Pelodiscus sinensis: one gene and its partner. The protein of the gene in region 2 binds, or shares a complex with, the protein of the main gene of each other region. Links are inferred from orthologs where the notes say so. Each region holds a gene or a part of one and is shown on either strand. Other genes may lie near its edges.

Region 1 (11,880 bases), on a different chromosome or scaffold from region 2:
GATAGTGTTGTGAGGCACTGATTATAAAAGTGCTTTTGGATTGGATGGTACATTAAAATTGTTTGTGGTCTTGTAATTGTTTTTCAGCACTTTCCTTGCTGCCGCCTCTCTTTTGAGGGGGGAAAAAGCAGCTAATCCCAATTACAGACCATGTTGCCTTCTTAAGAAGGGAGGAGGGATTGATTTTTAATAAAAAAACACAGTTGGGATGTCCAGTTTCAGCCCGGAGTGAAAGCTTAATGAAGAATTATTAAACAGGAACTTGTAATTGGAAATAACACACAGCTGGAACTCCAGCAATACAAATATTACCGCCTGTATGGTTATGCATTCTCTACACAAATACATGTTCTATAAATATTCACATTGTGAAAAGATATATGATGGATTAAAATATCCTCTACTACTGTGAGTCAAAGGCCTTTTCGGTGAGATTTTTTTGGTAAGCAGTAGCAGTGTTCATATTGCTAATAATTGTTTGATTTATTTCAAGGTGGCCTAGACAACGTGGAATATTATGATATTAAGATGAATGAATGGAAGATGGTATCACCAATGCCATGGAAGGGTGTGACAGTGAAGTGTGCTGCTGTGGGCTCTATAGTCTATGTCCTGGCTGGCTTTCAGGGTGTGGGCCGATTAGGGCACATCCTTGAGTATAATACTGAAACAGACAAGTGGATAGCAAACTCCAAAGTCCGTGCTTTCCCAGTGACGAGTTGTTTAATCTGTGTTGTTGATACTTGTGGAGCAAATGAAGAAACGCTAGAGACATGAAGGCCTCAAGGAGAAGTCAGGACATTCTTCAGAGACTTGGAAAAGATGGCCATCGGTGCTTTGCTTTTGGATTTTATTGATTCTTGTTAAACTGAATAATCTTGAAAAACTGAGATGTAGCCCTCACATTTGTATATACAGTATGTGCCCATTTAATTTTTACCCTTTGTTCTAAAAGATGGGATGTATTTCAAGATTCCAGTATCCTAGCTCAGAACACGACATGTTTTCTTGAACAAATTTTTTGTGTGGCTTTGCCAAAAACTAACCAGCCTCTCTCCTCACCCTTCAGCTTAGTTATCTGGAAAATGTTAGTGCATTTGATATAGTTTAGCCTAAATCTCAGAAAAAACTTAAAAACAACAAATAGTCTAGTAAGCACCTTAAAGACTAACAAAACAAGTAGATGATATCATGAGCTTTCATGGGCACAACCCATGTCTTAGATGACAGGAGTATTAGAAGTCCAGATCCAAGAATAAATAAGGGGAGGAGCGAGGAGGAAAAAAATAGCACAAAGGGGGAGGGAAAAAAAGACAGTGAGTAGATAGTTCAAATAGTTACAAGAGGCTGATAAGAACAATTAGCACCTCCATTGGTTGATTGGTTAAGTCATTAGGCTGTGGAAGGTACCGTGCAAGCCATTACTTTATTCAAGATACTGAAGTGCAAACCAGACTACAAAGAATTACAAAGGGATCTTATAAAACAGGGTAACTGGATAACATCATGGCAGATAACATTCAATATTGATAAATGCTAAGTAAGGCATATTAGAAAAATATCCTAATTATACATACATACAAATGATGGGGTCTAAATTTGCTGTTAACCACTCAAGTGAGACAGTTTGAAATCATTATGGTTAAGTCCCTGAAAACATTTGCTTAATGTGCAGGAATCGCTAAGAAAGGAATAGATAATAAAACAGAAAATATCACATTGTCTCTATATCAATCCATGGCATGCCCGTATCTTGGCATGAAGTTGCCCCATCTCAAAAAGATATGTTGGCATTGGAAAAGTTTCAGAAAAGGGCAACAAAAATGATTAGAAGTATAAAACAGTTGCTGTAGGAGAAAAGTTAATAAGGCTGGGACTTTTCATCTTGGAAAAGAGATGACTTAAGGGGATTATAATAGAGAGTTGTAAAATCATGTCTGGTGTGAAGAAAACATAGAAGTGTCATTTACTGTTTGTCATTACACAAGAACTAGGGATCATCAAATGAAATTTAGGGGCAGGGGTTTAAAACAAACAAAATGAAGTATTTCTTCTAGGGATGTTAAATTGCATTTACTACCTGATTAGTTTATAAGAGGGGAAACTGCGGAGTCTCAGCAGGGATAACTCTGGGCCCCAGGAGCTAACCCTGCTGTGGCTCTGCCTTTTAAATGTATTAAGAGCTGCCAGGTCTTAATACATTTAAAAGGCAGAGCCACAGCATCTGGGGTTGAGCGTGAGTTGGGACAGCTGATTCCCAGTTAATGCCTGGTCGTCCATCCCCCCGGCCCCATGCCTTTTCCTCTCTTGCCCCCTCCCCCCCCCCCCCAAGACCGGGGGCGGGGCAGGAGAACTGGCTTTTAAGCCCACTCTTCACAGCACTGGCTCCCGCTCCCCCCTAACTCCTTTACTGCCTCTCTCTTATAGAGGCACGGGGAGGGGAAACGCGACTAGTTAAGTCACTACTTGACTACCTGATAAGCATATGTTTATTGGGTAGTCTACTAGTTGCTTACATCCCCAATTTCTTCATACACTGCAGTCAACTTGTGGAACTGTTTGTCAGAGATTGTTGTGAAGGCCAAGACTATAACAGGGTTAAAAAAAGAACTAGAAAAATTCATGGAGGAGAGGTCCATCAATGGCTATTAGCTGAGACGGGCAGGAATGGTGTCCCACAAGCTGTGAATGGGCAGTAGGGGATGTATCACTCTGATTATCTGTTCTTCAGAGGGAATGAACAGCACCTGATGTTGGCCACTGTCAGAAGACAGTATACTGAGCTAGACAGACCTTCGGTCTGACCTAGTGTGGCTGTTCTTAATATACATTCTACAGCTCAGACGTAGAAATTCTCTAGATACCCACGGTGAATTAATACAAGTTGTCATAGGCGAAAATGAATTTCCTCATACTGTTCTTTCTCTTTTATGCACATTGCACAACCACCATTCTTGTTTATATAGCCATTTAGTACCAACCTTGCAACACAAGGGGTATACTGGATTAGGAATGATATGTGAACTCATAACTTGCACAGCTCCTGCCTGTAGTATGGCAGTTTTATACCACTGTTGTTCATACATCATTTTGATAACTATTTCAGTGCATACTCATTTTAAAAATTAAACAGGCCACATGTATATTACAGAAACTTTGTTCCTTATTTGATTTGGCACTTTGAGGAACTTACACAAAAAGACCTCTAAATTATCACAAAACTCAGAATCTTGAGGTTTGATTGCATATTTTATTCAACACAAAAGTGCTCTGTACTATCAGGTTGGGCACTTGGGATCAAGTCACAATTTGTTTTCCTAGACCAATGTGCTAAAAATATGGAAGCCAATCCATTTGTGAAGATGTGGAGGGTGGGGAGAAGTAATAAGTTAGTTATAACCATGCAAACATAAATTCCTTTCAATTTTAAAGAGACTTATACATTTGGAAAATAATTTGAAAAATCTGTGGGCAATTAAGTGTGCAGTGCTAAAAATGTACCTGAATCATCAAAAACTTCACTGTAGACATGGATACAATATAATCTTCCAAGTTCCATGGTGCTCCAGTTCACAGTATAGATAAACCAGGCTTGTCAACTAACCTCTTGTACACTTACCAGTTAGTTCATGAAAATTTTCACTCTACAGGCGGCCCCCGACTTGTGATGTGATTGGTTCCTGGGGAAGCGTCGCAAGTTGCGGGTGTTGTAACTCGACCCCTCATTTACCATGTGCGTCGTCGTAAATGTGGGCCGAAGACTTAAGTTGGGGGGGTTTCGGCCCCTTCCGCACTTACAAAAATGGCTGTAAGTGCAGGGGGTCAGAACTCGGGTGGTCTCATGTTGGGGGTTTCCTGTAATTCTATCTGTCCAATAACCTGCTATCCTTTTTCAGACCATTCCCTTCTAGACTACCAAGACAGCATTGACATCTTAAAAAAATAATTACATTGGTACATATTTTTTAACGGATACCCTTCCAAAAGGAGAATGGATGTTTAAGATGCTCTGCTCCAAGTTCTTGGTAAATTTGGTAAATTTCCAGCTTCCAGATCTCACTATCTTTCTCAGATCTCATGGACTGGATTAAATTCTACTTTCTGGGTTGAACAGGCTGATTATTATAGCTGCTAGCATGTTTTTAAGATTCTGAAGCACATTTATTTTCCATTGAGTTAATAATTTTCTTAAACTACAGATAAATTTATAAATACAAAGAAGGGATTTGAAAAAAAATTGTCATAGCACAGTTAAAAAGCAACTTCAGTGGAACATTTTGTTGAAACTGCTGTAAGTAAAGAAGATCTTGCTTATGTACATCTGTTCAAGCTTATGATTATTTGGGATTTCTCATGCTATATATTCTAGCTTGCAGGCTAGAGCATGCTGAACTTGGTTCATTGAATTAGTGGTAGCAAGTATTAGATTATGAAGAGTGCAACAAAACTTTTCTTAGATAATTCTGTGTATCAAGCATGTGTATTGATAAAACTTAAAAGGCTTCTGTGTTTGGTATCAGAAGCATCCTTTGGAACTTTCTGATGGAAATGAAACAAATACCTCAGTGAAGCTTGTGGGTCAGTAAATGATGTTCAGTAAATATGTTTTCTTCAGTCTTATCTCACCACACAAACTTTAAAAAACACAACTGTTTGTGACAAACAGTTTAGTGACAAATCCCTATGCCCTACTTCATGATACAGCTGTGAAGCTGGCATCATCCTAAAATCAAGACAATTTGATAGTTTATCTGGCAATTGAAATAATTCTGGTATTTTATGTAATTTGTAGGATTTTTAAAATGTTTAAAATAGAGCTGGCCTATCAGCTAGATAGTGTTCCCTATGTGAATGCTATCCTTAACTATAGTGATAGAAATGTAGCTGTGTTAGTCTGCTGTAGCTGAAACAAAATACAGGACTATGTAGCACTTTAAAGACTAACAAGATGGTTTATTAGATGATGAGCTTTCGTGGGCCAGACCCACTTCCTCAGATCAAATAGTGGAAGAAAATAGTCACAACCATATATACCAAAGGACCTAATTACATGCATCCTACTCCAGAAGACTTTCAAATCTGCACTTGAAAGGGAATCCTCTGAACTGTCATTCATGCTAAAATTCGACACTCTCCGTGGGGGGTTGAACAAAGACACCAACTACCTTACCCATTACAAAGATAGCTTCCCCAATTATCACCTCTAATACCATTAGCTCATAGACATCTACCTTTCCCCACCTCTAATATCATTAACTCACAGACATTTACCTTCCTTCTCTTCCCCCCCCCCCATCCTCCTTCTGTTCTGAAATGTGATTTGTCCTTTTCATATGTGTTCATTTTTTTTAATTGTATCCTTTGGTATATATGGTTGTGACTATTTTCTTCCACTATTTGATCTGAGGAAGTGGGTCTGGCCCACGAAAGCTCATCATCTAATAAACCATCTTGTTAGTCTTTAAAGTGCTACATAGTCCTGTATTTTGATCCTTAACTATCACATTTTATCTGCTATACTTTTCCCAATATGCATTATATATAAAAATGCATAATATGAAGGTGCAATGTTTGGCACAGTAGGAGCCTGTTTTCCCTTACACCTATGGGAAGAGGGTCAAGGTGGATCCCTATCTCCCTCTTGTGTTGGCAGTGTGCATTCACTTTCTCTTTTGCATAGGGAGAGGGTAACGATCTGTTTTCCAGGGGAGATGGTATTATGAGCTTTCCTGGGCAGTGAAAGCTCATGATACCATCTACATGTCTCCTTAGTCTATAAAGTGCTACCAGACCAGTTTTTGTTTCTCCTGTACAGACTAACTCAGCTACCACCTGAAGCTTCCAGGGGAGAGGGGGATGAGCAGGTCCCAGACCAGGGGCTTTATAGTCTACAGGTAACTGGTGACGTGTCCCCGCTGAGAAGAGACCAGCCGCTGTTTCACCATTACTAGGGGGTCGCTCCAGCAGGGAGAGGGTGTCAGCGGGGGTCACGCCTGGGGGAGGGGCGCAGAGCTGTAGCCAGGGATGGAGGCCTCCCCGCAGGGCAGGCGTGGGGGTGAGTCACGGGATCTCTCCCCCGCGTGCCGCTGCCCAGTGGATCGTTGCAGCGCTGGGCGCGCGAGTCAAAGGCTTGTCCCTCGCGGCGGCCCGTCCAAGCCTGTGGTGGAGGCGGGCCGCGAGCGTCAGTCCGGACTTGGGGGCGGTGAGGAGAGGAACAGCGATGGCAATCATAGCACGTGCAGGTAAGGCTAAGGACGCGCTCTCATAGGCTGTTCCGCTACCCAGGGCTTAAGGGGCGGAGCAACAGCTGGGCTTCTCATTGGGCCGCTCAACTGGCACTTTCGCGCACAACCGGTAAAAGTCAGGAACCGCCTTCTCACGTTCTCCCGCGCCTGGGCAAAGGCTCGCATACGTCACTCAGAAGCGCCGTAATGTCACGCGGTGAGGCGGTCGCGGGCCTTGCACGTCGTAGCAGTGGGTGGTTCTGTCGGCCGGTGTCGTTAGCCGCGGCAGCTATGACGCAACGGAGGCCGGAACTCGGGGGCCCCGGCCGCTGCCATGACCATCTGCCACTTCTTCCTGCAGGGCCGCTGCCGCTTCGGCGAGAGGTGCTGGAACGAGCATCCCCGCGGCGGGGGGCGCCCGGCCCCGGCCCCGCCGCCTTCTCAGGGTACCCGCTTCTCTCAACTCCTCCGCCTGCGGCTGGTCGCCTCCGCCCCTCGCAGCCCTCCCGGGGGCTCTCGCCGGGGCAGCCGAGGTCCCGATCCCCGCTTTCGGGGCTCGCGTGCAGCCGGCCGGGTCAGGGCCCAGCTGCGGCGCTAATGGCTGAAGCGTCTGGGACGCTGCTTGCCCCCCCCCCCCCCCGTGAGGTGTGAGCCGGTCACCTCCCTGACCAGTCCAGCCTAGCGCCGACGGGCCTGGTCTGAGCCTGGGTCCCTGCGCGCTTCCAATAGACGTGATTACCCTGGTCGGTCCCAGTCCCGTATCCCGCCCGCCGCAGGGTGCAGCTTCGGGGAAAGGTGCCAGGAATTTAGCAGGCCTGGGATAATCTGCGCCCGGAAAAGGTTCTTCCTGACAACCCCCTGTCCCCTGTTGAGAGCTCGGGTTCTGCCATAAGACCTGTAGCTCTGTGTCCCTGCCAGAACTCTTGTTGGTTCTCCTTAGGGTTCGCTGTTAGACGTCTGGATATTCTTGTCTTCTGCGCAGCAACCTATTTAAAGTCAGACCTTTTTTAATCTCCCTTCTGTCACACTAATACTGTAACCTTGGTGCAGCTCTTAATCTCTTGATGTTTGAGTGCTTTCTGTGGTGGGGTTAGGGTAATGTATAAATTTTGACAGGTGGCCTCTTGAAATCTTCCCCCCTCCTTAATGAACGGGGCTGGTAAAATGTGACTGCAATTCGTTGGCTAGTAAAGTTTAAAAGAAATATACAGAATTGTGTTTTACCACATATAAATACAGAACTTAGCTGCACCAAATGCTGTAGGTTTTCTCAGGAATTTAAAGTTGAGGGTTAGATAACTTTCAGTTAAAATACTAAACGTATTTAGTAGCAAGCAAACAGTTGAACATTTTACCTCTTTATAAGTGGTGAGTCATCCTTGCAATTGTCACTAAATCACATAGCTCAAGTGGGTATTTATTGTAAATGACTAATAGTTTTGGAGTAATAGTATTTATAAAATAGAGAAGTTAGAGGTTTTTTCCCTCATTTGAAATTATAGCCTATCTGGATGCTCAGGAAACAATAAACCAGAATGTGTGTTGTTTTCAACCTGTTTTTCCTCTTCCTCCCCCAATCCTCCATTCTTGATTACTGGAATTCTAATAGGACTCTGACATTAGTATTAAGGAAGATGAATTACAAGTATGCTGAAGAGAAACCTTGCCCAATTCCCCATCTGCATATGATTTTCCATTTCTCTTCCATAGACAAAAGAGACATCACAGTGCCACAATTTGTTGTTACAAAACGGACCGTTTGAAAGGAAACTGAAGTGCCCGGGCCTATTAAATACATTGATAAATTGCTTATGATTTAACAAATACACTTAAGCAACAAATAGTCTTGCAGCATCTTGGAGACTAACGAAAAATGTAGATGCCTATGATATCAACTACATTTTTTGTTAGTTTTTAATGTGCTGCAAGACTATTTGTTTTTTAAGTTTATTCAGTTACAGACCAATACAGCTACCCCTCAGAAACACTTGCTTATGATTTGTAAGGAGTACTGCCATCCTTGAATCTGTTCCATTTCATAATTGTTATAAGTAGTTTTTTATGCTTATACCTACCTTCATAATCTCCTAGCAAATGTTTGTAGCTTAGTCACATGTTCCCTTGTTTTTGTAATGTTTCTGGGTCTATGAAATCTCTCACAAGAAGTGTGAAAATGAGGGGCTTTTTCTTCCAAGTTGACCATGTGGATTGGATCTGGCAGGGTCTGGGCTGCACAGGTCATCTTTCAGGATTGGTGTTTAAGTGCTATCAAATGGGCAAAATAAACAAGAATAGTGAAAATACTTCTAATCTTTCAGATATTAGAGCTGATCTCAGCCCTTAAAATCTTTATTACTTGCAGTAACAATGGATTAATATCATATAGTGTGTTGGCCTCTTGAAAGGTTTTAAGATATGAATGAGATATCTTAAGACCCCATTCTGGAAATAAATAGTCCCATTTAACTTAATTATGCTCACATGATGACAGTTGCTTAATGTAGGGGTTCTCAAATTTTGTGATACCATGACCCCCTAAAATGCTAAATGAATTTGTGTGGAACCCCCTCCCCCCCAGGTCTCTTCCTCCCCCCTTCTCACCAGACTCCTTGCCCTCCTGGGGTTCCTTTAAGGCATTTGCAGTCCTCAACGCCCTTCCCCCCTGCAGGCCCCTTCCCCCATCTCTTTCTCCTCTGTGCTTCTTTTCCGCTCCGCATCCCTTTGGTTCCTTTCCTCTCCTCTGACCCCCATGTGCCCTTATTTACCTTCAGGTCCTCTGCCCTGACCCAATCCCCCAGCCTGTTGCCTGAGGGACCTCGCCCTCTCCCAGCTGGGGAAGAGTTCAGTCACCTAGCAACTATGCCCTGGCCTGCCCCGCCCCTTGCGCATCTGCTACTGCGTTGGCCTCGCTCTCCCACCGCCTTGCCTCCTACTGCAGCTGAGCCGTGCTCCAGGAGTCCTGCGGCCCTGGCTACACTGTGCGGCTTGCCAGTGGCTGCCTTACACTGCCCTGCCTCTCTTCGTGGCCCGGGGGAGAGGGGTCACAAGTGAAAAAACGAATCCAGCTGCGACCCCCCTGGGGGTCACAACCCACAGTTTGAGAAATGATGGCTTAATGTGTAATTGCAGGCATGGACTCTATTTGTACATACATCTTTTTAAATAAAATAAACTCTGATCACATAATGCACAACTAAAAATATTAACTGTTCTAGTAATTGGTTCTCTTCATGCTCTGTAATTTTCAGTACTAGCATACATAAGTGAACTTGGTTCACTTGATTTGTGGTAATGAGGAAAATGTGAAAGAATATTTGTTTTCTCTTTTTCAATGCAAGGTACTGGCAGAGGAGGATGGGGTGGCCATAACCAGAGATACACCAGTGTTGTCCAACCTTCTAACTTCTCTAAACCCTCTACGTGGGGTGGCAGCAGAAATGATGGAAAGGCTTTTTTTGGATCCTCTGACTATGGAGCACCAGGCAGTGGCAATAAAAGTTCAGGATTTTCTCAAAACAGATTCTCTGCATTAAATTCTGAGCAAAATATTGTCAGTGACTACAGAGATGAAGAAGAGAAGCTTCTGTAAGTCCTTGTTCTGTGATTATCTAGAAAGAATTTAGGTAAATTTTACAAGTGTAAATTTGTATGGAGACACTTGAGTATATTATGTAACTTCCTTATAATGCCAGTTTGAAGAGATTTCTAATGTCTAAATATTTACATTATAATTTGTTAATATGAACATCTTCATTGGGAGGTAATGAAGTGTATGTGTAGTAAAATTAATTGTCATAGGAATTTAAAATGCACACAGACAACCTTTATTAATTGAAATTGTTGTTTTTAATAATTTTGCATTCATCTTTAAAGTGATCTGCAAAAGGGGAAAAACTGGGCTTTTTTTCCTTTCTCTTTCTACTCTACAAAGCAAGCCTGGGAGGTTTGGGGAAACTTTTCATTTAAAAAAAAAAAAAAAAAACCCCTGCTGTTTAACCAAAAAGTGTCAGGTCTTGGCTATTGGATGACTGGAGTACTGTTGTGATATAAAAATCCTAAGTATTAAGGAATTGAGGTACTGGTTGAGGCCAAAAGTGGCTTTCATTCACCCTCTAGTTAAATAGGTGTTGTGAAAGAGTTTTAATGTTCCTAGATCTAAGGGAAAACTTCCTCTAAGACTTAGGTGCAAGTCTTGCAGAGTAAGAAGTTGCAATCTATGTCTACATTCCATTGCAGGTTTATTTGTTAGAGCAGGATGAGGAAATTTTTACACCCCTTAAAATCCTTAGATTTTGGTATTTACTTGCATTCGTATGAGATTTAAAAATGTATCTTTAATAAAAGCAAATTTCTAACTTGCTGCAGTACAGTATTCTTGCTTTTGCTCTCTCCAGAGTTTCTTTAAATATTACACTTATTTTACTTCAGTTAATAGTCCCTTATCCCTATTTCATTACTTCTACCAGGGCTCGACAAATTAATGCAATCTACTAGCCTGTGGTGAGTAGATTGCAACCCGGAAGAGCCGCGTTTGGGCGATCTGCTCATGCGCAGATCGCTGGACAGCGCAGCTGGCGAGTGGGGCTCGCTGCAGTTCAGCGAGCCCTGACTTCTACAATATATGGATTTCTGTAGTCTCTAAAATTGAGATGTCTGTTTTTCATCTGGTCTGAAATCTTTCTGCTTTTTACTTTTTGCTGTTATACATATTATTAGCTTATTTTTGTAGAATTTTGTAACTTTCAAGGTTTCGCAAATGTTAATGCTGAGATTATGATTGCAGCCTACAGAGAAAATCATTTAACAGCATATTTGCCCTTCCTGCCTGTCTTTATCCAGCTTACTTAATTCATGATGCAATTTATATACTTTAACAAAATGTTTTAAAAGTGGCCATTTCTACATATCACATCACAATTGTTAACTGAGGGTCCAATTCTCCCAGTATTGCTCATGATAAAGAGTACCATACTTCAGTGTGCATAAACCATTATCTTCCACGGTTCATCTTTACTACTAGGATGGGAAAATATTTTGTCTGTTAAAGTCAGGAAGACTGCTAATGGAATACTATGCTGTGGAAGGTTAGGGAGTATATCAGAATGTGGCACTGCATTATTTTGAAATACCTTCTCTTGAGTAGAATAATTTGTTTTTATTCACACTTTTGATTTTGGTATAACTTTTTTTAGTGAAGGTATAATAAAAGACATGGAAGTATGGGAATCTTCAGGACAATGGATGTTCTCTTGTTATTCACCTATGAAAGAAAAGCCTAACATCTCAGGTAATAACTTCCTCAGTCTCAACTTATTACCAAGAATGTTTTTCTCAAGTTGTTGCATTATATTTTAAGGTCCAGAAGTGCCAGTTGCCTTGCAGAAATGCACAAGACTAAAGCTCTTCCTTCTAAAGAACTAAGGTTTCAAACCTTCCACTTGCTCCACCTATGTGGAGGTCATCCGAGATCTAGACTTGACTTGTCATGCAACAAAGAGGAAATGAGATTATGGACAAACTAGAAAAATGGTCTCAGGTAAATAGGATGAAGTTTAATAAGGACAAATGCACAGTACTCCATTTAGGAAAGAACAATCCATTTCATGCATACAGAATGAGAAGTGACAGTCTAGGAAGGAATACTACAGAAAGGGAT
Region 2 (11,841 bases):
GCCAAGGACACCATTTTATCCCCTGGCTAATAGCCTTTTATGGACCTAACCTCCATGAATTTATCCAGCTTCTCTTTAAACTCTATTATAGTCCTAGCCTTCACCGCCTCCTCTGGCAAGGAGTTCCACAGGTTGACAACACGCTGTGTGAAGAACTTCCTTTTATTAGTTTTAAACCTGCTACCCATTAATTTCATTTGGTGTCCTCTAGTTCTTCTATTATGGGAACTAATAAATAACTTTTCTTTATCAGCCCTCTCCACACCACTCATGATTTTATAGACCTCTATCATATCCCCCCCTCAGTCTCCTCTTTTCTAAACTGAAAAGTCCCAGTCTCTTTAGCCTCTCCTCATATGGGACCCGTTCCAAACCCCTAATCATTTTAGTTGCCCTTTTCTGAACCCTTTCCAAGGCCAAAATATCTTTTTTGAGGTGAGGAGACCACATCTGTACACAGTATTCAAGATGTGGGCGTACCATAGTTTTATACAGGGGCAGTAAGATGTTCTGGGTCTTATTTTCTATCCCTTTCCTAATAATTCCTAGCATCCTATTTGCCTTGTTGACCGCCGCTGCACACTGTGTGGAAGTTTTCAGAGAACTGTCCACGATAACTCCAAGATCTCTTTCCTGATTTGTCATAGCCAAATTAGCCCCTATCATACTGTACGTATAGTTGGGGTTATTTTTCCCGATGTGCATTACTTTACACTTATCCACATTAAATTTCATTTGCCATTTTGTTGCCCAATCACTCAGTTTGGTGAGATCTTCTTGGAGTCCCTCACAGTCTGCTTCTGTCTTGACTATCCTAAACAGTTTGGTATCATCTGCAAACTTTACTACCTCACTGCTTACCCCTTTCTCCAGATCATTTATGAATAAGTTGAAAAGGATTGGTCCCAGGACTGACCCTTGGGGTACACCACTAGTTACCCCTCTCCAATCTGAAAATTTACTATTTATTCCTACCCTTTGTTTCCTGTCTTTTAGCCAGTTCTCAATCCAAGAAAGGACCATCCCTCTTATCCCATGGCCATGTAATTTACACAAGAGCCTTTGGTGAGGGACCTTGTCAAAGGCTTTCTGAAAATCCAAGTATACTATATCTACTGGATCCCCCTTGTCCGCATGTTTGTTAACCCCTTCAAAGAACTCTAATAGATTAGTAAGACAGGATTTCCCTTTACAGAAACCATGTTGACTTTTGTCCAACAAATTATGTTCTTCTACATGATTCACAATTTTATTCTTTACTATTGTTTCGACTAATTTGCCCGGTACTGAAGTTAGACTTACCAGTCTGTAATTGCCAGGATCGCCTCTAGAGCCCTTTTTAAATATAGGTGTCACGTTGGCTACCTTCCAGTCATTAGGTACGGAAGCCGATTTAAAGGATAGGTTACAAACCACAGATAATAGCTCAGCAATTTCCCATTTAAGTTCTTTTAGAACCCTTGGATGAATGCCATCCTGTCCCGGAGATTTGTTAACATTAAGTTTTTCTATTTGTTCCAAAACCTCCTCTAATGACACTTCAATCCAGGACAGTTCCTCAGATTCATCACCCACAAAGGACGGTGCAGATTCAGGAATCTCCCCAACATCCTCAGCCGTGAAGACTGAAGCAAAGAAATCATTTAGTTTCTCCGCAATGGCTTTATCGTCTTTGATTGCTCCTTTTATAGCTCGATCATCTAGGGGACCCACAGGCTTTTTAGCAGGCTTCCTGCTTCTAATGTACTTAAAAAACATTTTGTTATTTCTTTTTGAGTTTTTGGCTAGCTGTTCCTCAAAATCTTTTTTTGCTTTTCTTATTACATGTTTACACTTGATTTGACAGTGTTTATGTTCCTTTCTATTTATCTCACTAGGATTGGACTTCCACTTCTTAAAAGATACCTTTTTGTCCCTCACTGCTTCTTTTACATGGTGGTTAAGCCACGGTGACTCTTTTTTAGGTCTCTTGCTATGTTTTTTAATTTGGGGTATACATTTAAGTTGGGCCTCTATTATGGTGTCTTTAAAAAGTTTCCATGCAGCTTTCAGGGATTTGGCTCTAGTCACTGCGCCTTTTAATTTCTGTTTAACAACCTCCTCATTTTTGTGTAATTCCCCTTTTTGAAATTAAATGCCAGGGTACTGGACTGCTGAGGTGTTCTTCCCACCACAGGAATGTTGAATGTTATTATATTATGGTCACTATTCCCAAGCGGTCCTGTAACGGTTATATCCTGGACCTGATCCTGCACTCCACTCAGGACTAAATCGAGAATTGCCTCTCCCCTTGTGGGTTCCTGCACTAGCTGCTCCAAGAAGCAGTCATTTAAGCTATTGAGAAATTTTATCTCCGCTTCTCTTCCTGAGGTGACATGTATCCAGTCAATATGGGGGTAATTAAAATCCCCCATTATTATAGAGTTCTCTATTTTGGTAGCCTCTCTAATCTCCCTCAGCATTTCTATGTCAGTATTGCTGTCCTGGTCAGGTGGTCGGTAATATATCCCTACTGCTAATTTCTTGTTATTGGAGCATGGAATTTCTATCCATAGCGATTCTATGGAACATGTTGATTCACTTAATATTTTTATTTCATTTGATTCTACATTATCTTTCACATACAGTGCCACTCCGGCACCCACCCGGCCTGCTCTATCCTTTCTATATATTTTATATCCCGGTATGATTGTGTCCCACAGATTTTCCTCATTCCACCAGGTTTCAGTGATGCCTATTATGTCAATCTCCTCATTTAATACGAGGTACTCTAGTTCACCCATCTTATTAGTCAGATTCCTAGCATTTGTGTACAAGCACTTTAAAAATTTGCCACTGGTTATTTGTCTGCCCTTCCCTGATGCATTGGATTCCTTTCTATGCGATTGTTTGTCAGCTCTGGCCAATGGTTTGCCCTCTCCCCTCCTCTCTTTCCAACTACAGCTTAGAGAATCTCTATCAACGGATTCTCCTCTAAGAGAAGTCTCTCTCCGATTTACGTGCATCTCCTCACCAATCGGCTTTCCCCCATCTCTTAGTTTAAAAACTGCTCTACGGCCTTATTAATGTTTAGTGCCAGCAGTCTGGTTCCACCCTGGTTTAGGTGGAGCCCATCCTTCCTGTATAGGCTCCCCCTCTCCCAAAAGTGTCCCCAGTTCCTAATAAATCTAAACCCCTCTTCCCTACACCATCGTCTCATCCACGCATTGAGACTCTGAAGCTCTGCCTGCCTATCTGGTCCTGCGCGTGGAACTGGAAGCATTTCCGAGAACGCCACCATAGAGGTCCTGGATTTCAGTCTCTTTCCTGGCAGCCTAAATTTGGCCTCCAGGACATCTCTCCTACCCTTCCCTATGTCATTGGTACCTACATGTACCACGACCACCGGCTCCTCCCCAGCACTACACATAAGTCTATCTAGATGCCTCGAGAGATCCGCAACCTTCGCACCAGGCAGGCAAGTGACCACCAGGCAGGCAAGTCCTTATTCAACTCCTCCTCAACCTAAGTTTCTGATCTTATTTTTTCCTTACTTTTCACTCTGCCAATAATACTCATTTTCCAGTTCCTGTCTCAATGCCTTCTTCCATATCATCCTCTGTGCAGAGAAGGCCTTCTCCATCCTAGTTCATCAAGCCATCTGCTTATTAAAATTCAAATTCCTACTGAATATCTACCAGAATTGATAACATAAAATCTCCTTAAGCCTACCTCTGTATTCTCAGGGGTCCTGGACAGTTTGCAGGCTCATTCTGTGTCTGTATGGGCAAGAGTACAGTCTGTGCTTTGTTCTTGTCTACATTACACATGCTCTGCAGAAATATCTATACCAGTACAGCACCCTAATATAGATACAGCTTATATATGCAGGGGCTGTTTCAGTGTGAATTTGCTAATATCTCCCAAAGATTATTGTGGACATGAACACTCTTCCACCCGCACATCTCCATCTGCCTAAGCTAAAAATGCTACAGATGCACCACAGGGATAGCATGAGGGGATCCCCCTGACCCTACATACCAGGGATGGCTGGGAGTGGGTGACCCACTGATGGGGGGGAACTCTCTGGGCCTGTCCCTGGGTGAAGAGCAACTGCCCTACCAGTGTATGAGGGTTTCCCAGACCCTCCCACACTGGGCTGGCCAGGAGCAGGTGCTCCCCTCTTTTGTGTGCCTGAGGGGGTCCCGAGCAGGGAGAGCTGGGACCTCCCACTGTGTGGAGATGGCCGTGGCCGGAAGCGGGCGCAACCCATTTGGGGAGGCGAGAGAGACTGGCCGGAAGCGGGTGCAATCCATGTGTGTGGAGGGGAGGTGTCCCAGAAGCTGTGCAGCCGGGGGTGAGGAGGAGGGTCCCAGAGCGGGATTGGCCGGAGCGGTAGCAGGCAGCGCTCCCCCGCTCCGCACTCACCTCACCGCGCAGCAGCCAATCCCGGGAGTAGCTCAACTGCCCCTTGCTGGAGCCTTTCAGCGCCTCCAGGGTCTCCCAGCGGTACCGCTCCGACGGCATCTCGACCCAGCCCCAGGCTCGCTACCGACCAGTTGCAGCTCCGCCAACCGCCGCGCATGACGGGAACACAATGACCTTTGACCCCTCACGCACGCTCGTTCTGTTTCCGGGCACCTGCAGTTCTTCTGCCCCCCCCTCCCCCTTCCATGAGGAAACCGCAGTGACGCTTCGGAGACGCCGTATCGTCCCCTGCTGGCGCGCAGAAAGCGCTGCAGCCCTCAATGGGCCTTGGGGTCTGCTGGTGCGGCGCCGCCTGTTAACCCCTCAGCCCCCCGCAGGTTCGTGTTTCCAGGGGCTGCCCGACGGGGAACCAACCGCCGCCCTGCGAGTGAAAACGCCAGGCCCCTGAGAGCCGGACATACTCCCCGTTGTGTCCGTGCCTGGGCTGAGCAGCACAAAGCGACCATCCCCTCCCCAGAGCAACTGCAACAGAACAAGATTTGTCTATGCTGATGGAAACGAGCCAGCTCAGCCAAGGGGCGGCCTCTTCAGAGCCAGTGATAGAAATGTAGCCCTGTTAGTCTGGTGTCACTTCAGGGTCTCTACCAAGCATGTATAACCCTCAACTACCCACCCGGAGAAGTAAAAAAGCAAATTGAAAGAGCCAGACGAATACCCAGAAACCATCTTCAAGACAGACCCAAGAAAACCAACAATAGATCACCACTTGGCATCACCTAAGCTTGAATAAAGACTTCTAATTATCTTACCCATTACAAAGATAGATTCCCCAATTATCACCTCTAATATCATTAACTCGCAGACATTTACCTCCCCCCCATCCCCTTTCCATTCTGAAATGTGATTTGTCCTTTTCATATGTGTTCATTTTTTTAATTGTATCCTTTGGTATATTGGTTGTGACCATTTTCTTCCACTATTTGATCTGAGGAAGTGGGTCTGGCCCACGAAAGCTCATCACCTAATAAACCATCTTGTTAGTCTTTAAAGTGCTACATAGTCCTCTTTCTTTTTTTCTTCAGAGACAGAATGATAAATAGCAAGTAAGCTGCAGCACAGGGAGCATGTGAAGGAGCCAGCTAGGGTTGCCAGATGTCCAGTTTTGAACCAGACAGTCCAGTATTTGAGTTTTCTGTTCAGGAAACAAATTGAGAAAATATAAATGTCCGGTATTTTCTAAATAAAATGTAATGTAGATTGTGATGTAATGTCAAGTGTGTCCCGTATTATTGTTGAAACCCTCTGGCAACCCAAGTCAGCCAACATTTTCATTTTCCACCACACAGCAGCAGAGAAAAGCAATACACGCTTATGCTGGCTATGTCTCGATTTTTCTGGGACAGTCCTGAATTTAAATACTCTGGCCCAGTGTCTCCATCAAATAGTGAAATGTCCCAGAATGCCCCACCAGACATTTCACTGCTTGATGGGGACACCAGCTCACAGGAAGAAGCAACCAAGAAATGGCTCTGTGCTATTGCTCCTTGTGCGGTGCAGCAGCCACCACCTCCTTCTCCCCCCAGTAGGGTGCATATAGGCAGCTCCATTGGAGGTTTGCCTGTGGGCAGTCCCTCCCTTCCCCCACAGGACCACCTCTGTGGGGCAGGGTCCTGGTCTGGTAGCCTCCTCCAGGCCGCTTGTTAGTACAGTGGCTGCCACCACTGCCGGGGGGGAGAGGAGGCTGGGCAGGTCCAACGCAAAACCCAGTGGAGTGGCTCCCGGATCTCCTTGCCTTGGAGCCCCTGCAGGAGCCACACAGTGTCTGACTGGGGCACTGCGGGGTGGGGCACGCTCAGGCTTGGCAGGTGCCAGGACTGCAGGGCTATGTCTACACTGGCAGGTTCTTGCACAGAAATATCTCGCGCAAGATCTCTTGTGCAAGAAAACGTCCACACTGGCCAGAACCGCATCGTGAGAACACTGAGCTCTTGCGCAAGAAAGCGTCCACACTGGCGGGAAGCCCTTGCGCAAGAACGTGTCTCCGGAAGCAAATTGGCCATGTCAGGAGGTCACTAGCACCTGACTGCCCATGTGTGGTGTGGAAAAAATTCTATTTCACAATGAGTCTAAACATTACCTGGAGAAAGAACACAAATTGGACATTTAGCTTTTGCTGCTTCCACATACCATTTCACTCTTTAAGGCTTTCCTGAAATGTGAATGTGAAGGTGTTATAGCTGTGGATTTCCTCATCATCATCCAAGAACAGCACCCATTTTAGGTGGCTGATCTTGGGTTTATACTGACTTGCTGTGTAAGGTCTGTTTTCTATCATTTTAGATTGAGCTCCAGGGTGACAAAATGGAAATGACAAGAGAGAAGTATCAGTCTGCCCAGGAGGAGAACAAGCAGCTGATCTTGAAGCTAGAGGAGCTGGAGAGGTTAGAATATATAACTAGTTTGCTCTCCATGTCTGATTTGTTTTCTCTTCTCCTGGTCTTCCTTAGTTAGGTGATCTGCCCCCAGGACATTGCTGGCTTCACCAGTCTCGGCTTCCCGAACTCTGGGGGAGCCGTAGACAGGACCCACATCCCCATCCGGGTGCCAGAGCACCAAGCGGCCCGGTTCATAAACCGGAAGGGCTACTGCTCTGTGGTGCTCCAGGCGCTAGTGGACCACCAGGGCCGGTTCCAGGACATTTATGTGGGGTGGTCGGGGCAGGCCCATAACACTCGCATCTTCAGGCACGCAGGCCTGTGTCACAGGCAGGCACCTACTTCCCCCAGCGGAATTCACCATTGGGGATGTCAGGATGCCAGTCTGCATCTTGGGGGATGTGGCCTACCCCCTGATGGCCTGGCTGATGCAGCCATACACTGGCCACCTGGACCACAGCCAGGCCACCTTCAACAGCCAGCTGGACTGGGCCCACAATCCTGTCGAGTGCGCCTTTGGCTGTCTGAAGGCACAGTTTAGGCGCCTCCTGACCCACCTGGACATAGGGGTGCAGCACATCCCGGAGGTCATCTCGGTATGTTTCGTGCACCACAATATTATTGGGAGGTGAGGGGGGGAGGCCTTCCTCCCAGGGTGGATGGAAAAGGGCCAAGCCTACCAGCAGCCCCACATGGCTGCCACCCGGCAGACCAATCACCAAGGGGTTCGGGTCTGGGAAGCCCTCTGGATGATGCTGGACCAGGCCCCACAATAGGCCACTCCTACACCTCTGACGCAGGGATGCCCCTGTGACCCCACTTCCTGCTCCCATCACCACCCCTTCCTGCCCCCCTTCCCTCACCTCCCAATAAATAAAATGCATTTGCTGTACATAAGGCACTTTTTTATTTACATTCGGAAGGGAGTGCACTGTGGGGAGGGGGGGACCCTGAGCTGGGAAGAGAGGGGAGGAGGGGACCCTGAACTGGGAGAGCCTCATGATGGATAATGGAGGCCTCTCCCACCTCCACGGGGGCGGGGGCGCCTCTATCCCTTGTGCTGGGTTGGGGCAGGCTGCACGAGGAGGTGCTAAGGGTGGGGGACCTGGGGAGGGGACATGGGCAAGGCAGGGGGAGAAGCGGGCGGAGAGCTAGGGGTGGCAGAGGGGGGGCCTGGCAGCCTTAGGCTGCTCCACAGGGCCCATCCGGTCAGCCATGGTGTCCAGGAGAGTGCAGACACAGTCGCAGCGTTCCAGGTACTGGCCCCACACCCGCTCCCGCCACTCCGCATCTGCGCAGATCTTCTGGGTAAGAGCGTGCTCCATGTGCTCAATTGCGCAGATGTGGCGGCGGAGCAGGTGGTGGCGGTCCCAGGAACACTGTGACGGGCCCTGGATCCTTTGGGCTGGCAGGATGGGGCTGGAAGGTCCCTTGCTGGCAGGGGGTCCCACTGCAGGAGAAGCAGAGGAGAGCAACATGGTCAGTGAGCCCTGCCCCAAATGGTGTTCCAGAGCCCCGTGCCCTCCTCCTAGCACATCACGATGCCCGGGGACAGGTGTGGCTGGTGAGGGGGAATTCCCCTGAGGCAGCGGGGGGTGGGTCCCAAGGTGGCCCAGGAGCCCCCAGGGGGGCCGTTTGTGCTTGGGGGGGGCCTCATGTGCCTTCCCCAGGGGAAGCTACAGTGTCCCAGAGGTGGCCATGGATGTGTGCTGTGTGCAGCATCCTTTAGGCTGTATGAGGTTAGGCCTGCAACCTTGGGGCTGGCCTACTCCTGACCAAACCTTCCCCTCTCCCCGGTCTGGTCGAGCGGAATCCTTGGAGTCCCATGCATGTGCTGGGGCTGGCTGCCGCTTCTCTGTGCCACTTGGTCTGGCTGCACGTAGGGTTGCCGGATGGTTTCAAGAAAACTACTGAACACACTTGACATTACATGACATTCTACATTACATCTTAGTTAAAAAATACCAGACCTGTTTATTTTCTCATTTATATCCTCTCAATTTGTTTTCTGAACAGAAAGCTCAGACTGGACTATCCAGTTCTAAACTGGACACCTGGCAACCCTAGCTGCATGAGGTTGCACATGCTGCATGCCTCTGCACAGCATGTGGCCAGGCTGTGCCATGTGCCACTACCTCTCTCCCACCCTGTGGCCCTCCCCCCACTTGTCCAGCACACTTGCGAATGGTAGCCACTGCACTCACCAAACAAACCCTCACAGGCTTCGGAAGATGCCCGGGACACATCCTGACTGCTGCTGGGCCAGGATGGTGAGGTCTGGCTGCTGTCCTCTGCCACCTCCTCCTTCTCCAGTGGCCTAGGTCAGACCACTGGGGTGGCCACTGCTGTGTCCACCTGGGACAGCAGGGGAGGGCCCCTTTGTCCCACAAGATCTGGTGCAGACAGTGATACTGGGGACAGTCAGTGGCTCCGCCGCCCCCACGCTTGCTGCCTGCACATAGGTGAGGCGCAGGTCCTTCACCTTGGCCCGGACCTATTCCAGGGTTTGGGCCGGGTGTCCCTTTGTGGCCAGCGCCTGGGCCATCTGGGCAAAAATGTGCGCATTTCTCCTCTGGGACTTGGGGTCCCGGAGGGCCTCCTCCTTTCCTCAGAGGTCCAGGAGGGCAGTCACCTCGGCGGTGCTCCACCATGGAGCCTGCCACTTGGTGCCCCTTCGGACTTGCTGGGTGCTCTGGGGTGGCTCCTCCGTGGGGTCTGAGGGACCTGGCTGAGGCTGGGCAGCTGCCATTCCTCCCTCTGGGCTGCTACCCTGGCTGCACGTGGCAAATGGCTATGCTCCGTGCCTGTGCCTTTAAGGGGAGGGCCAATTAGGGGGAACCAACAAGTGGTGATTGCCTGTACAGAGTGTTGGGGGGCACCTGCGTTTTTCACTGGAGGCCAATTCTCGCGCAAGTACGTGCTTGCCGAACGTCCACACTGCCCTCTTGGGCAAGAGCACCTGCACAAGAGAGCTTAAGCCGGATAGAAAACAGCGTGGCTCTTGCGCAAGGAACTGTCTCTTATCACACCATACTGTACATTTACTTGCGCAAGAGCAGATGGGCAGTGTAGACACTCTGTGGATTCTTGTGCAAGAATGGCTGTTCTTGCGCAAGAAGCCATGAGTGTAGACATAGCCCAGCAGAGGCCACCCGCAGTGCTATTTTTAGTACCACAGTCCAGGCCCTTGTGGGAAGCCCTGGGTCCAGCTGAAGTCAAATGGAAGTCGCATGAGGCACGTTCCAACCAGGGCAGCCTCACCAGAAGGGTCCTCATGTGGCTGCTGCTTTACTCCAGCTGGAGCCAAGGCACCTATAGGGATCGGGACAGCAGTACTAAAAATAGCACCACAGCCCTGGCTCTAGCCCCCATAAACTGCTTTCCACATCAAAGGCAGAAAGTGAAAAAACAGGCAGGGGAAGAACTAAGGAGAGGTGGGGGTAAGGAGAGAAAGGGGTTTGTGCTGAGGGGAAAGGAGCAGCAGGAGAAGAAAGGGGAAGGCACCAAGATGTAGGGTGGAGGAGAGAGAAATGCTAGGGGCAAAGAGGAGACAATGAGGAAAAGGGCAGAAGGGGGGGTAAGGGAGGGAAGGTGTCCATGGGGGGGAGAGGGGTTAGAGAAGGGAGGGGACAGTGTGATGAGGGGAGAGGAGAGTGGAGGGACAATGGGAGGAAGAGGAGAGGGGGTGCCAGGAGAAGAGGGATTGAGAAAAGGGGTGGGTATATGGAAGGCAGGGGATGGAGCAAGTCAAGTGTGAGGGGCATGAGGAGAACTGGGGCAGAAGGTGGTGAGGGGGTGGGCATCAGGGAGAAAAAGGGCAAGGAGCCAGGAGGATAAAGGGTAGGAGGGGCAGCAGCAGGCACCAGAGGAGCAGATGGGACAAGGGGGGTGGGAGATATGTCAACAGAGGGAAAAGGGAGAGGTTTATAAGATATTAATAACTTGGGTGCTACAGTGACATACATCCGAACAAGCACACACGAATTCAATACTGGTGCACAAGACAAAATTCTCTCTGCTCATGGGAGAAAAATCTTAAAGGGAACACTTCCCTCAGACTCCCCCCTCCTCTCCCCCCGGAGTTAATGCAATGCAAATTGGGTTAATGCTATTGCAGGATTGTTGCATGGGTTGGGGGGGGGGGTGTCCCAGTAGGGCAAAACTCATCGCTATTGGATAGAAATATGGTGGGAGGAGTTCTTAGAGGGGTCACATGACACCTTTTCTTCTGGTCAGATGTTCATCTTGACCCCAGGAGTACTACCTGCAGAGCGGGACTTCTTGTGGCAGGGGGGACAGCTAATGGGAGTCAGGGGGCATGACTAACATGTCCTTAATTTTGGTTCAGAAAATATGGTCACCATACACATGCTACTAAAATCAAAAGCCTTCTTTTGGCAAACAAAATTCAGAGTCCAGGATACATGGGCATTTGCAACCTTGATATTTCTTGATTCAGAATGAAACACGACTATGGTACTTTGTGCTGGAGGCTAAAAACTGAAATCTCATATCGGTCAGCAAAAAATACTGCAGGCTATTTTCTCCTCCCTTTATTGTGAGGATTCATTTTCCCCCAAGCAACTGCAACATTATTCCTTTTCTCATGAACAAATGTGTGTATTGGGGGCACCAATACTGATGGCTGAAAGGTGAATTTGTTTTGATCTTTAAAATAAGTTTTAAAGGAAATTAATGGATTTATTTTGAGACATTAGTTCCTATAAAACACCAGCAGCCTGATGAAGTGGAACAGTGAAAAAGTCAACGAGACAATTTACTAGATGAAGTGTCAACCCAAAAATAATACACATTTTAAACTTCTGAAGTTCAATAATTTTATAGCACCTTTTGGATTTTTTTTAAGTTACACATTAAAACGGAACTTTCAAATACTGATTAAAAGAAACACAGAAAACTCTTATCAAACATTCCATTGATGAATACATTTCATATAAACAATTAAAAAAAAAACACACCAAAAAGTCCCCCAGCCACA

What was found.
Region 1: the proteins of GLE1 (region 2) and NUP42 are in contact, whole or in part, in a crystal structure (PDB 6B4I), measured with the Homo sapiens proteins. The link is inferred for Pelodiscus sinensis from reciprocal best matches to the Homo sapiens genes GLE1 and NUP42. Residues at the interface, in NP_001003722.1 of Homo sapiens: Ile385, Ile593, Leu598, Asn599, Trp602, Arg603, Ala606, Gln607, Leu609, Asn610, Gln636, Tyr637, Gln638, Val639, Gln640, Lys643, Met644, Ile646, Leu647, Glu650, Asp651, Tyr652; in NP_001357375.1 of Homo sapiens: Asp185, Asn186, Val187, Leu188, Phe189, Gln202, Phe203, Gln204, Ser205, Lys206, Lys207, Phe208, Leu210, Gly211, Lys212, Ile213, Pro214, Leu215, Lys216, Pro217, Pro218, Leu222, Leu223, Asn224, Val225.

What each region holds. Positions count from the first base shown.
Region 1 is NC_134712.1:199,261,943-199,273,822, reverse strand, and holds the start of NUP42 (nucleoporin NUP42), read left to right. Parts: upstream 1-6,480; 5' UTR 6,481-6,558; coding exon 6,559-6,670; intron 6,671-9,562; coding exon 9,563-9,809; intron 9,810-11,416; coding exon 11,417-11,511; intron 11,512-11,880. Other genes in the region: KLHL7 (kelch-like protein 7), read left to right, coding at 494-777.
Region 2 is NC_134732.1:11,437,055-11,448,895, reverse strand, and holds the start of GLE1 (mRNA export factor GLE1), read right to left. Parts: upstream 4,576-11,841; 5' UTR 4,507-4,575; coding exon 4,408-4,506; intron 1-4,407. UniProt on the Homo sapiens protein: Required for the export of mRNAs containing poly(A) tails from the nucleus into the cytoplasm. May be involved in the terminal step of the mRNA transport through the nuclear pore complex (NPC).